Linked DNA regions of Coturnix japonica. Each later gene encodes a partner of the first gene's protein in a complex. Links are inferred from orthologs where the notes say so. Each region holds a gene or a part of one and is shown on either strand. Other genes may lie near its edges.

Region 1 (4,306 bases):
TGGCTGCCCCAGGTCTCACTTGTTCTGTGTGTTTTCCATCTCTGGAAAAGTCTTGCTCTAATATTTCTATCTGCCACGCAGTTCTTCTATATGAAATGCTGATACCTGCTCTGCTTGTTTCCTTGGTGCTGAAAGATGCAGTGTTTGATGCTGCTCAGCACCGACCTGCTGAAGGGAGCAGCAATGCTCAGAGCTGACCCTTGAAAAGCTTAAACTTTTGATCCACAAAGCAGGACCTTTTGTGCTTACAAACGTGTTTAATGGCAGAAAACAAAGCTACCTGCCTGTTGTTTCTCACCCTTCTAAATAGTTTAGCCTAGAATAGGGAAACAAGTGGTTTGATCAGTGTGCTTCCAATGGTGATATGTGGCACTGCCATCAGTTCTGATGGGAGAAGGGTGTGCATGTCAGCCGTGCTCTCAGTGCTTATAGCATGGGCAGTGATGGCAGAAATGAGGAGCCTCTCTTTGTGCACACTCTTAGTTGCTCTATTTGGGGGTAAAAATCAGTACCCAAAGAACACATTCTGCCTGCCCATCATTGCTGAGAGTGCAAATGTTGTTAATTAGAGTTTTGCATGCACTTAGTGCCTGTCAGCCCTGCAGTGATAGATGGGTTTCTGACCCTCTGCTCTCCTACCAGCCCAGCACGCTCTGCATCCCCCAACCTACCTTCATCTCTCTGTTAGAAATAATTTCCCATCTTGCAAAATTAATTCTCTGCTCACAACGGCTTTAATTAAATAGCTCCGCAAAGTGTGCTGAGGGTGGCAGAGCAGCTCTGACAGAGGGGCTTCATCCAGCCATCACCTGGAAGGAGGGTTTTGTTTTGGGCTCATTCTTCTTGGCTTTTATTACTTTGCTGTCTGCATAGAAGCCCTCCACCAGAAGAGTTGATCCCTTTCTTTTCCCAAGAAATGGGCTGGGAGAAATCCTTTTGGACCTCACAGGTGAAATCTTGCTGGCCTTTGTTTTGGTGTGAAGACCCCAGAGGATGCAGGGAAGATCTCTGATGAGAAAGAAAGCTGCCATAGGATGGCAGTCTGCCCACTGAACTGTGGGGGGGATCCTGGGGAGAACAGAAGGAATAGTCATCTCTTTTGTTAATATAGACTTCCATGATTGAACTGGGGGCTTGGAGACACTCAGGGTCAGGCTGGAGGGGCTTGGAAACATAATGATGTGTCTCTGTTCACTGCAGGGAGTGTTGGACTGACAGCCTTTAGGGGGTCCCTTCCACCTCAAATGATTCAGTGATTGGATTAGGTTGGGGTCACATTGAGCAGAACACAGAGAGATTGGGACTGAATGTGCAGCAGGAATAAGTTGGGTTTTCCTATTTGAGAGGTCAATGAGCAGCATGAAGGCTGTCCAGGTGAGCTCTCTGCTCTGATTTACTGCTGTTCTCCCTTCAGCATTTGAAAATCAATCCATTTACTATTAATGTCTCATCCTGAATTTATTTCACACGCCTGTTAATGGACTGACCAAAACTCTTTCAAACACCAGGACTCCTGCATCACACGGAGGGCTGCATCTCTGCTGTGTGCTTCTTTCCTTTGTTCCCTCTCAGATCTGGGACCTGCTTTCATGGAAGCATTTAGGAACACTGCTGCATGTTCCCATGCTATTACTGGTGAGGAAGGTGCAGCTTCTGTGCTAAACATCCCCAGGCAAGCTTTAATGTGGAACTGGAGCAGCAAGGGCTGTCTGCTGGGCCCAAGCTGCTCTTCTGGGCTGCCTGTGGACTCTGTAAGAGAAGCAATGTTTGCTGCCCAAGGAGGCAGTAGTCTTTCTCTGTGCCTCCTGGGCCATACCAATGTGTGCTGCACCCCAAAAACTGCTGGAAAACTGCTTCTACCATCTGTGACAGGTGAGTGGGGCAGCAGAGCATGAGGCCCTGCAGGCAGGGTGCTCTTGGTGTGGGATCAGAATGAGGCAGACCTCACGGTCCCATTTTCCCCCTGTGTATGGGGATAGCAGACAGCTGTGATCACATCCCATGGCTGGATTTGGGGAGGATTAGGGGGTAAGGGTCAGAAGCTCCATGTGCTCCTCAAATTGAGACAAAGCAGGGGATGCTCTCAGTTACACCCCTCCCCACTTTGCCCACCATAGCTCTGAGAGCCCTGGCTCAGCCCTCTGTGCCATTTGGCCACTTTCTAGGTTAAATTCCCCAAATTCTACCTCTGTTCCGGGAGCACTCAGCCCTCCCGGCTGCTGAGCTGCCCCAGGTGGGTGCGGGACACTGCCGGGGACTGCAGGTAGGGTTGGGTATTGGTGCTGGAGTCTCCTTCCATCTGTGGGGTAACTAGGGGAGGGTGGCAGCTCTGAGCGGTGGGGACGGAGCCCGCAGGTGTGAGCTCGCTCTGCTTTGGTGGGTTTGGCTTTTTCCCTTTTTTTCCCCCCCCCTTTTTATTTATTTTTTTAATCCATCCCCTCCCTCCTTCCCCCCCCCCCCCCCACCTCGCTTTGCTTTTACGCAGTGACAGCAGCCAGGCAGCCGGGCTGGCTCTGCCCAGCCGCCGTCCTCCCTCCTTCCCTCCCTCCCTCTTTCTCCTTCTCTCCCCCCCATCCTTCCCTGCTCCTTAAAACCTGCGTTCCGGGGGTGCAGCCCCTCCAGCGGAGCCTCCGGCCGTGCCCAACCCGGCTTTGTTCCCTGCGGGGCTGCCTGAATGCGGACGCAGTAAGAAGGGAAATCCGTACGCAGGTAAGCAGCCAGCAGGGGTTTACGTGTCTCTGTATCTTTTAAACTTCGGGCATTTCCTACCGCTTTGCAGGGGATGCTGCAGGGCTGCAGCAAGCTGGCTTTGGACAGAAGGGGGGGAGGGGTGGGGTGAGCTTGGAGCCCCGGCTGGAGGCTGCTGTAGGGGGTGTTTGGGGAGCACGAAGCTGCATTAAGGGTTTCCAGCCTCATCCAGGCTGCGGGATATGGGTGGGGGTCTCCCAGTGCCCGGGAGGAATGGAGTTGTGCAGCCTGCATTCCTGCTGTGCTGACGGTGTGGAGATATTTGAGCTCAGGGTGCACTGAGCTCTGGAGTCTGAATCCCATTTTCGTGCTCCTGGGGAGCATCCCTTGCATTCTTTGTGCCCTGAACTGCCCGTTTCACCAGCATATCTTAAAACTCTCTTTTCGGTGCCCCCAGGTCGTTGGCACAGGCTGGTGGTTCATGATGGACCCCCTCTTCCCTGCCCATATATTGGAAGACCCCGACCTGAGAAAGCTGCTGAACGACTCCTCCATGCTGAACCTGAGCTTTCTCCCCAGCAACTGGTTCAACAACGGCACGGGGGACAGCTTCCTGCCGCTCAGCATCAAGATCACCATTGTGGTTGTCTACTCCATTGTGTGCATTGTGGGGCTGGTGGGCAACTGCTCCGTCATGTATGTGATCGTCAGGTAGGCAGCAGGCAGCTTGCAAGGGAGGGATGGGAGCAGGGAGGGCAACCTCGTGAGAATAAATCAGTGCTGCAAGAGGAGAGGGCTGGTGATTCTCCGGTAATTGCAATGTGCTTTAGAGGTAATGGTGTGGTGTCTGTTTAATGCTTTGGGTTTTATATGTTGGGTCTTTTTTTTTCCCCTCCCTTGCTAGGCATGGTGAAGGTTCCCACCAGCTTTCAGCTGCCCTCTGGTGCCTCCTAAAGTTTAACCCAGAGAATGGAACGGAGCGAGCAGGTCTGCTCCATAAGTGGGGCTTTTTGCAAGCTGCTGGGTAGGGAGTGGGGTGTCCTGGGGAACATGAAGTGTTGGGAGCATGCAGGGTGCGCCCACTGCTCTGTGGGACATCTTCCCCCTGCTGTGGGTGCAGCTGCTGCTCCATCTGGGAGCTGAACCAAGTTCTGAGGTGTAGGGCTTATTGGGAAGCTCAGACTTGCATTTTTTTACCTCTAAGTGCAATTCATGCAGCTTTTCCACCTCGATGGGAAATATGGGTGTAAATAAGATGCAACAGGGTGGTGAAGAGATAAGGGTGACTTTCCTGGCTCTGGAGTTGGGAGGACCTTTGCAGGAGGACACAGCTCAGAGCCTGGGCTGCTCCTGCAGCACTGTCTGACCTCTCTGCCTGCTCCTGCTGTGGTTTGAACCACCTGATTTCCTGCAGTCATAAACCCTGCAAGTACAAAGTAAGCTCCTGCAACCACTGGGGCTGCAATTCTATGTCAAGTGCCAGCATCCCTCTTGTGATCTCAGTGCTGTGTGTGGTATAGAATCAGCTCCCATTCTATATAAATCTCAGAACACTCCTGATGCCAGCGCAGAAAACACATTGCAAACTTTTGTTTTCTCCTTCAACAAAGACGACTAA
Region 2 (4,595 bases), on another chromosome or scaffold:
ACCACTATAGCACCCCAAACCCCAGAGGGGGTGTGGGGGCACTTACAAGAAGGTCGAAGCCATCGTGGTAGAAGTGGCGGTCGCAGCGCAGGCAGTCCCCCCGGCAGTCACTCCGTGCCCGGGCAAAGAGGCAGAGAAGTAGCAGGTCCCAGAGCACGGCCCTCATGGTGACAACGGCGGGGCTGCAGCCAGAGACAAAAGCTGTGAGCCCCAGCACTGCTCCTAAATGGGTTGGAGCAACGCTCAGCCCTCACCATAATGGGAATGAGCCTCCCTCCCACCCCCAGCTCCATTTTCCCAGGCTATCTCGTGACACGAGTACCAGCAGAGCTTAATTTAGCAGGTGGACATGGTGAGGTGTCACGTCTCAGGCTGTCCCCAAACAGGATGTCTGTGTGCCAGCAGTGAGGCTGAGGACACGGGGACAGCAAAGTTGCCCTTGGTGGCACCTTGATCCCTTCATGCAAAACATGTCCTGGGCAAGGAGACGGGCAAGATGTCTAAAGCCTTCTACAAGCTCCACCAGCAGACCAGAAATCCTCATTTCCTTCTAAAACTGTGATTTCCAGTCTTCAGCCACCATTCTGATGGGCATCCAGGAACCACACATCCAGCTTTGCCCATCGCGGGCAAAGAAGACCTCAGTGGTGACAGCAATGGCTTTGTGACCTGTGCTCCATCAGCATGTTGGGGCACTCTGGGGGGGATTTGAAGGTGGGTTTGCTTTTGTGGGTAGGGCTCAGGGCTCATGTTTTCCACCAGGGTGGGGGCATCATGCAATAGAAGCACTGGGGATTCTGCACGGTGTCACGGTCACCTTCGAGCTCAGTGACACAGAGCCCCGCGGAGCTGCTTGTCATTTGCTAGAGGGAAAGCTGATAAGGAGTCAGAATTAAGGCTTAATCTTCGCCGAGTCTCATTAAAACTGGCTGGCGGCGTGAGTCAGAGGATTGGCAGGAAGCTCCCGGGAGAGGACAACACCCCCCCTAAAAAAACCACTGCAAAACCCCAATATCTCCACAATGCCCCCAAAGGAGGTGTCCCAGTATACCTGGGAGGGCTGGAGTGCAGAGACTGGGGGAATTACTGGATGGCCAACTGGAAGATGCTATGGGGCAGGCAGGATGTGAGCCCCAGCATGAGGGGTGGCACCGCATATCGATGCCCCCTGAAAATGCAATCAGCCCATCTGAAGTGGGGCACCTGCCTGGTTCTGGGGGGATGGAGGGATGCAGAATCCTCTAAAATGTTACTGTGAGCCCCACAGCCCTGGGGTACGCCAGTATCAAATAGAATTATCCTCATTAATAACAGCGTTGGGGTAAAAAGGAGGGATTTGGGTGGAAATACAGCCTGTGGTTCAGATAGCGGCAGGGTCTGGCTCTGACATCAATAACCAGGGAGGAGAGGAGGAGGAGGATGGGCAGCAGGTGCTGCTGTGATGCACTTTCATTCATTCGATTTGGGCTGATTGGGTTTTTTTTTTTCTGCAGAGTGTGAGCTTTGGGCTGAAATCAGCTGAAACAGGGCAGCTCAGGGATGCTGAACCCTGTGTTCCCTGGGAATGTTCTCATTAGGGTTAGGGTCTGTCCCACCACGTGGGGAACAAGCACTGTTCCCAGAGCTCAGCCAGCCCCAATGATTGCTCTGTTTCCTCCTAAATCCCACTATTTCCAGCAGAATGCAAGGCCCGACCTGGAGGCACGGAGCTGCTTCCAGCACGAAACCCCACTATTATCCAACACTATCCCCCACTGGCACGGGTAAAACACTTCCCCTCCTGCTCTCCTCCAGCATAAAAATAATATGAAGTTGCCACCAGCAAAAGGAAAAGGCGAAGGGGAAGGCAACGCTGCCAGCGCGCCCCAAATCTTTGTGCCAGTGGCTTGGGGGGGATTGGAAGCAGCCCCCCCTGCTTCCCCGGTGCTCGTCGGAAAAACAAGCGCTTCCTTTTGTTGAGTCCCTCCATCAGGTAATTGGCCATAATTGGCCAAAATTACAGACTGCGTCGAGATGATCAACACAGATGGGGCAGCGATGGAGCGATTGAGAGGTAAAAGCTTTGGGCAGAGGGCTGCTCCCTGCGCCCGTCCCCATTCATTCCTGCTTTCTGTTGGGGACGGCAAGAATATAAAGGGGGAAAAAAAAAACAAAACGAAAACCCAACCATTTTCCTCCCTTTTGTGCTTTGTCAGAGGAGGGAGCGATGCCTCCTGCTCCAGGCACCTCCCGGCGCATCCCGCGGTGCTGAAGTTGTGAAGTTCCCTATCCCTTTTGTCCTGGATATCAACCCCCTCCCCCCAAAAAAAGAGAAAAACACCAAAAAGGGGTAATTTGGGGTTTGGTAATCCTGTGGTTTCTCCCTTCAGGCCATCGGTGCAGGGATGGAGACACAGAAGCCGGGTGCTTTGTGCCAGATCAAACCCCAAACCCTTTGCATCTCACCTGCCACCCCGCTGCCTCACCGCGCATCGGGCTCCTGTTGCGTTCCTCATCCAGTTTGGGTCCAAAAAGGGATATTTGGGGGAAGGTGAAACTTTTTTGCAGGTGCTCGCCTGGACAAGCATCGTGCATTTGGCTTTGTGGGGAGATATTTCTCTTTAACCCTTGCTGAGGAATGGGAATACGGGATGAATCGAAGCCTCGCCGGTGATGCTTGGGATAAAAAACCCAGCAAATAATAATAAAAAAGCAACAAAAAAAAAAGCAAAAAAAAAAGAAAAAGAAAGCCAATTCCCTCCTCCCCCCTCCCTGATCCACTGCAAACCGAAGCCCATCTCCTACCTGCAGTGTGCTGTCAGCTGCTGGCTCCTCTGCTCTGTGCCTCCTCCGGCGCCGGTGCCTCGGTGGTATATATAGACGGTGTGCACACCCGTCCCCACACCTCCTGCCCGGCCCCCAGCACGTGGGCTGAGCCCACCCCCGGGGGCTGAGGCAGCACTGACAGCTGGGGACAGGGGACGTGTGTCCCCCCCTTTGTGCCCCTCTGTGCTGTGAACCGGTTCCCATCAGTGGGGTGTCCTCCGGCATCGCATTTGGGTGCGTGAATATGGGGTGGCTGTGTTACCCCCAGATCCCTTTCTGCCAGACCTCAGTGCAGTGCCCTCGAGCAGCATGGGGAGAAGATTTTGGGGGAGGTTATGGGGCTGGGGGGGCTCAGCCATGAGTTGCGAAGCTGGAGCATCCACTGAGCATTGGGGGGCACCCACCGCCATAATTTCTTTTAGGGCATAACAGGTTTAAAATGTTGCTTTTTTTATTTTTCACTGATGCAGCCCCAGGATCGGGATGGGAGTCCCGCTACCCCAAAACACCTCTGGGTGGGTGGGGGTAGTGGGGGTACAGGGGCTCATCAGGTTTGTTGCTCCAGTGTGGCTAATGAGTGTGACCAGCATCGATGGCGGGCAAGAGGATGGGGCAGCTCAACGGACATGGGGGGGAAATTACAACTTTTCATTTGGAAAGGGAGGGGATCTCTTCCCTTGCCCCAAAATGGGGTGGATCTGTGGCCCATTGGGTCCATCCCAAAGGTGTGTCCCAGTGCTCCCACCTCAGGGGCACGGCCGCCTCCAGCCCTTTCCCACACCAAGCAGCACTGCCTCTTTTTTCCCATCTAAGTGACCCCATGGATCACCCTGCTTGAAGCCACCAGGCATTTTGCACCACCCCAAGCATCCTGCATGACCCCAAGAAGCCTTCAGCACCCCAAGTATCCTATACTGCCCCAAGCATACTTCATCACCTTGAGCATCCTGTATTACCCTGATCATCCTTCACTGCCCCAAGCATCCCACACCACCAAAGCATCCTGCACTTCTCTAAGAATCCATCATTGCCCCAAGCATCCTTCATGACCACAAGAATTCTTCATGACCACAAGAATCCTTCATCACCCCGAGCATCCTTCATCACCTCGAGCATCCTATACCATTCTGAGCATCCTGCATGGCCCCAAGCATCCTTCACTGCCCCGAGCATCCTTCACCACCCCACACTGGCAATTCAATAATCAAATCCGCAGCACCACTGAGATCATATCTCAGTAATTCCCCCTAACAACTCCCTTGGAAGGGCTGCATAGCAGAGCAAAACGGCTCCTTTTGTTTTTGCTTTGGCTCCGAAACAGCGCGCTTAATGTCCTGCCTGAGACCTCTGCTCTGTGCAAGCTCTGGCAGGCATCAGAAGCCAGAAACCTATGGAACTGCTGAAAAGTGGCAGAGGGGGGGAGCTGGGGGAGAAGCACTCCTCACTGCTTTTGTGGCAGAGAGCTGATTTATTTATTAATGTCCCTATTGCTCAGACTTCCTTCAACCATCCAGGTTGCTGTTGTTTTTGATGAAGGGGTTTTTTCACCAAACCAAGGTGGAGGGAAGGGGATGGCAAGGGGGCAGGCACCTTGTCCCCTCTGGGGGGCATTTTACAGTGGATTTCCCCCAGAGGAATCACCATAGCCTGGTGAGAGGGAATTACCTCCAAGGCTGGGTTTTAACCTAGTGATTTGGATAGGGCTGAGCTGGTAGCAAAGGACATCGGGTGAGGATGCTCGTGGTCTTGCTAATTAACTTGGGGGGAGGGGGTAGATGATTGGTGGGAGG

What was found.
Region 2: the proteins of OPRL1 (region 1) and PNOC are in contact, whole or in part, in a cryo-EM structure (PDB 8F7X), measured with the Homo sapiens proteins. The link is inferred for Coturnix japonica from reciprocal best matches to the Homo sapiens genes OPRL1 and PNOC. Residues at the interface, in NP_000904.1 of Homo sapiens: Gln107, Asp110, Gly114, Phe115, Trp116, Val126, Ile127, Asp130, Tyr131, Met134, Gln192, Glu194, Ile198, Glu199, Cys200, Leu201, Val202, Ile219, Val279, Gln280, Val283, Gln286, Gln291, Pro292, Ser293, Val298, Leu301, Arg302, Thr305, Tyr309; in NP_006219.1 of Homo sapiens: Phe130, Gly131, Gly132, Phe133, Thr134, Gly135, Ala136, Arg137, Lys138, Ser139, Ala140, Arg141, Lys142, Leu143.

What each region holds. Positions count from the first base shown.
Region 1 is NC_029535.1:8,320,157-8,324,462, reverse strand, and holds the start of OPRL1 (nociceptin receptor), read left to right. Parts: upstream 1-1,209; 5' UTR 1,210-1,589; coding exon 1,590-1,872; intron 1,873-2,485; coding exon 2,486-2,709; intron 2,710-3,145; coding exon 3,146-3,399; intron 3,400-4,306.
Region 2 is NC_029518.1:96,462,684-96,467,278, forward strand, and holds the start of PNOC (prepronociceptin), read right to left. Parts: upstream 2,912-4,595; 5' UTR 2,785-2,911; intron 183-2,784; 5' UTR 167-182; coding exon 47-166; intron 1-46.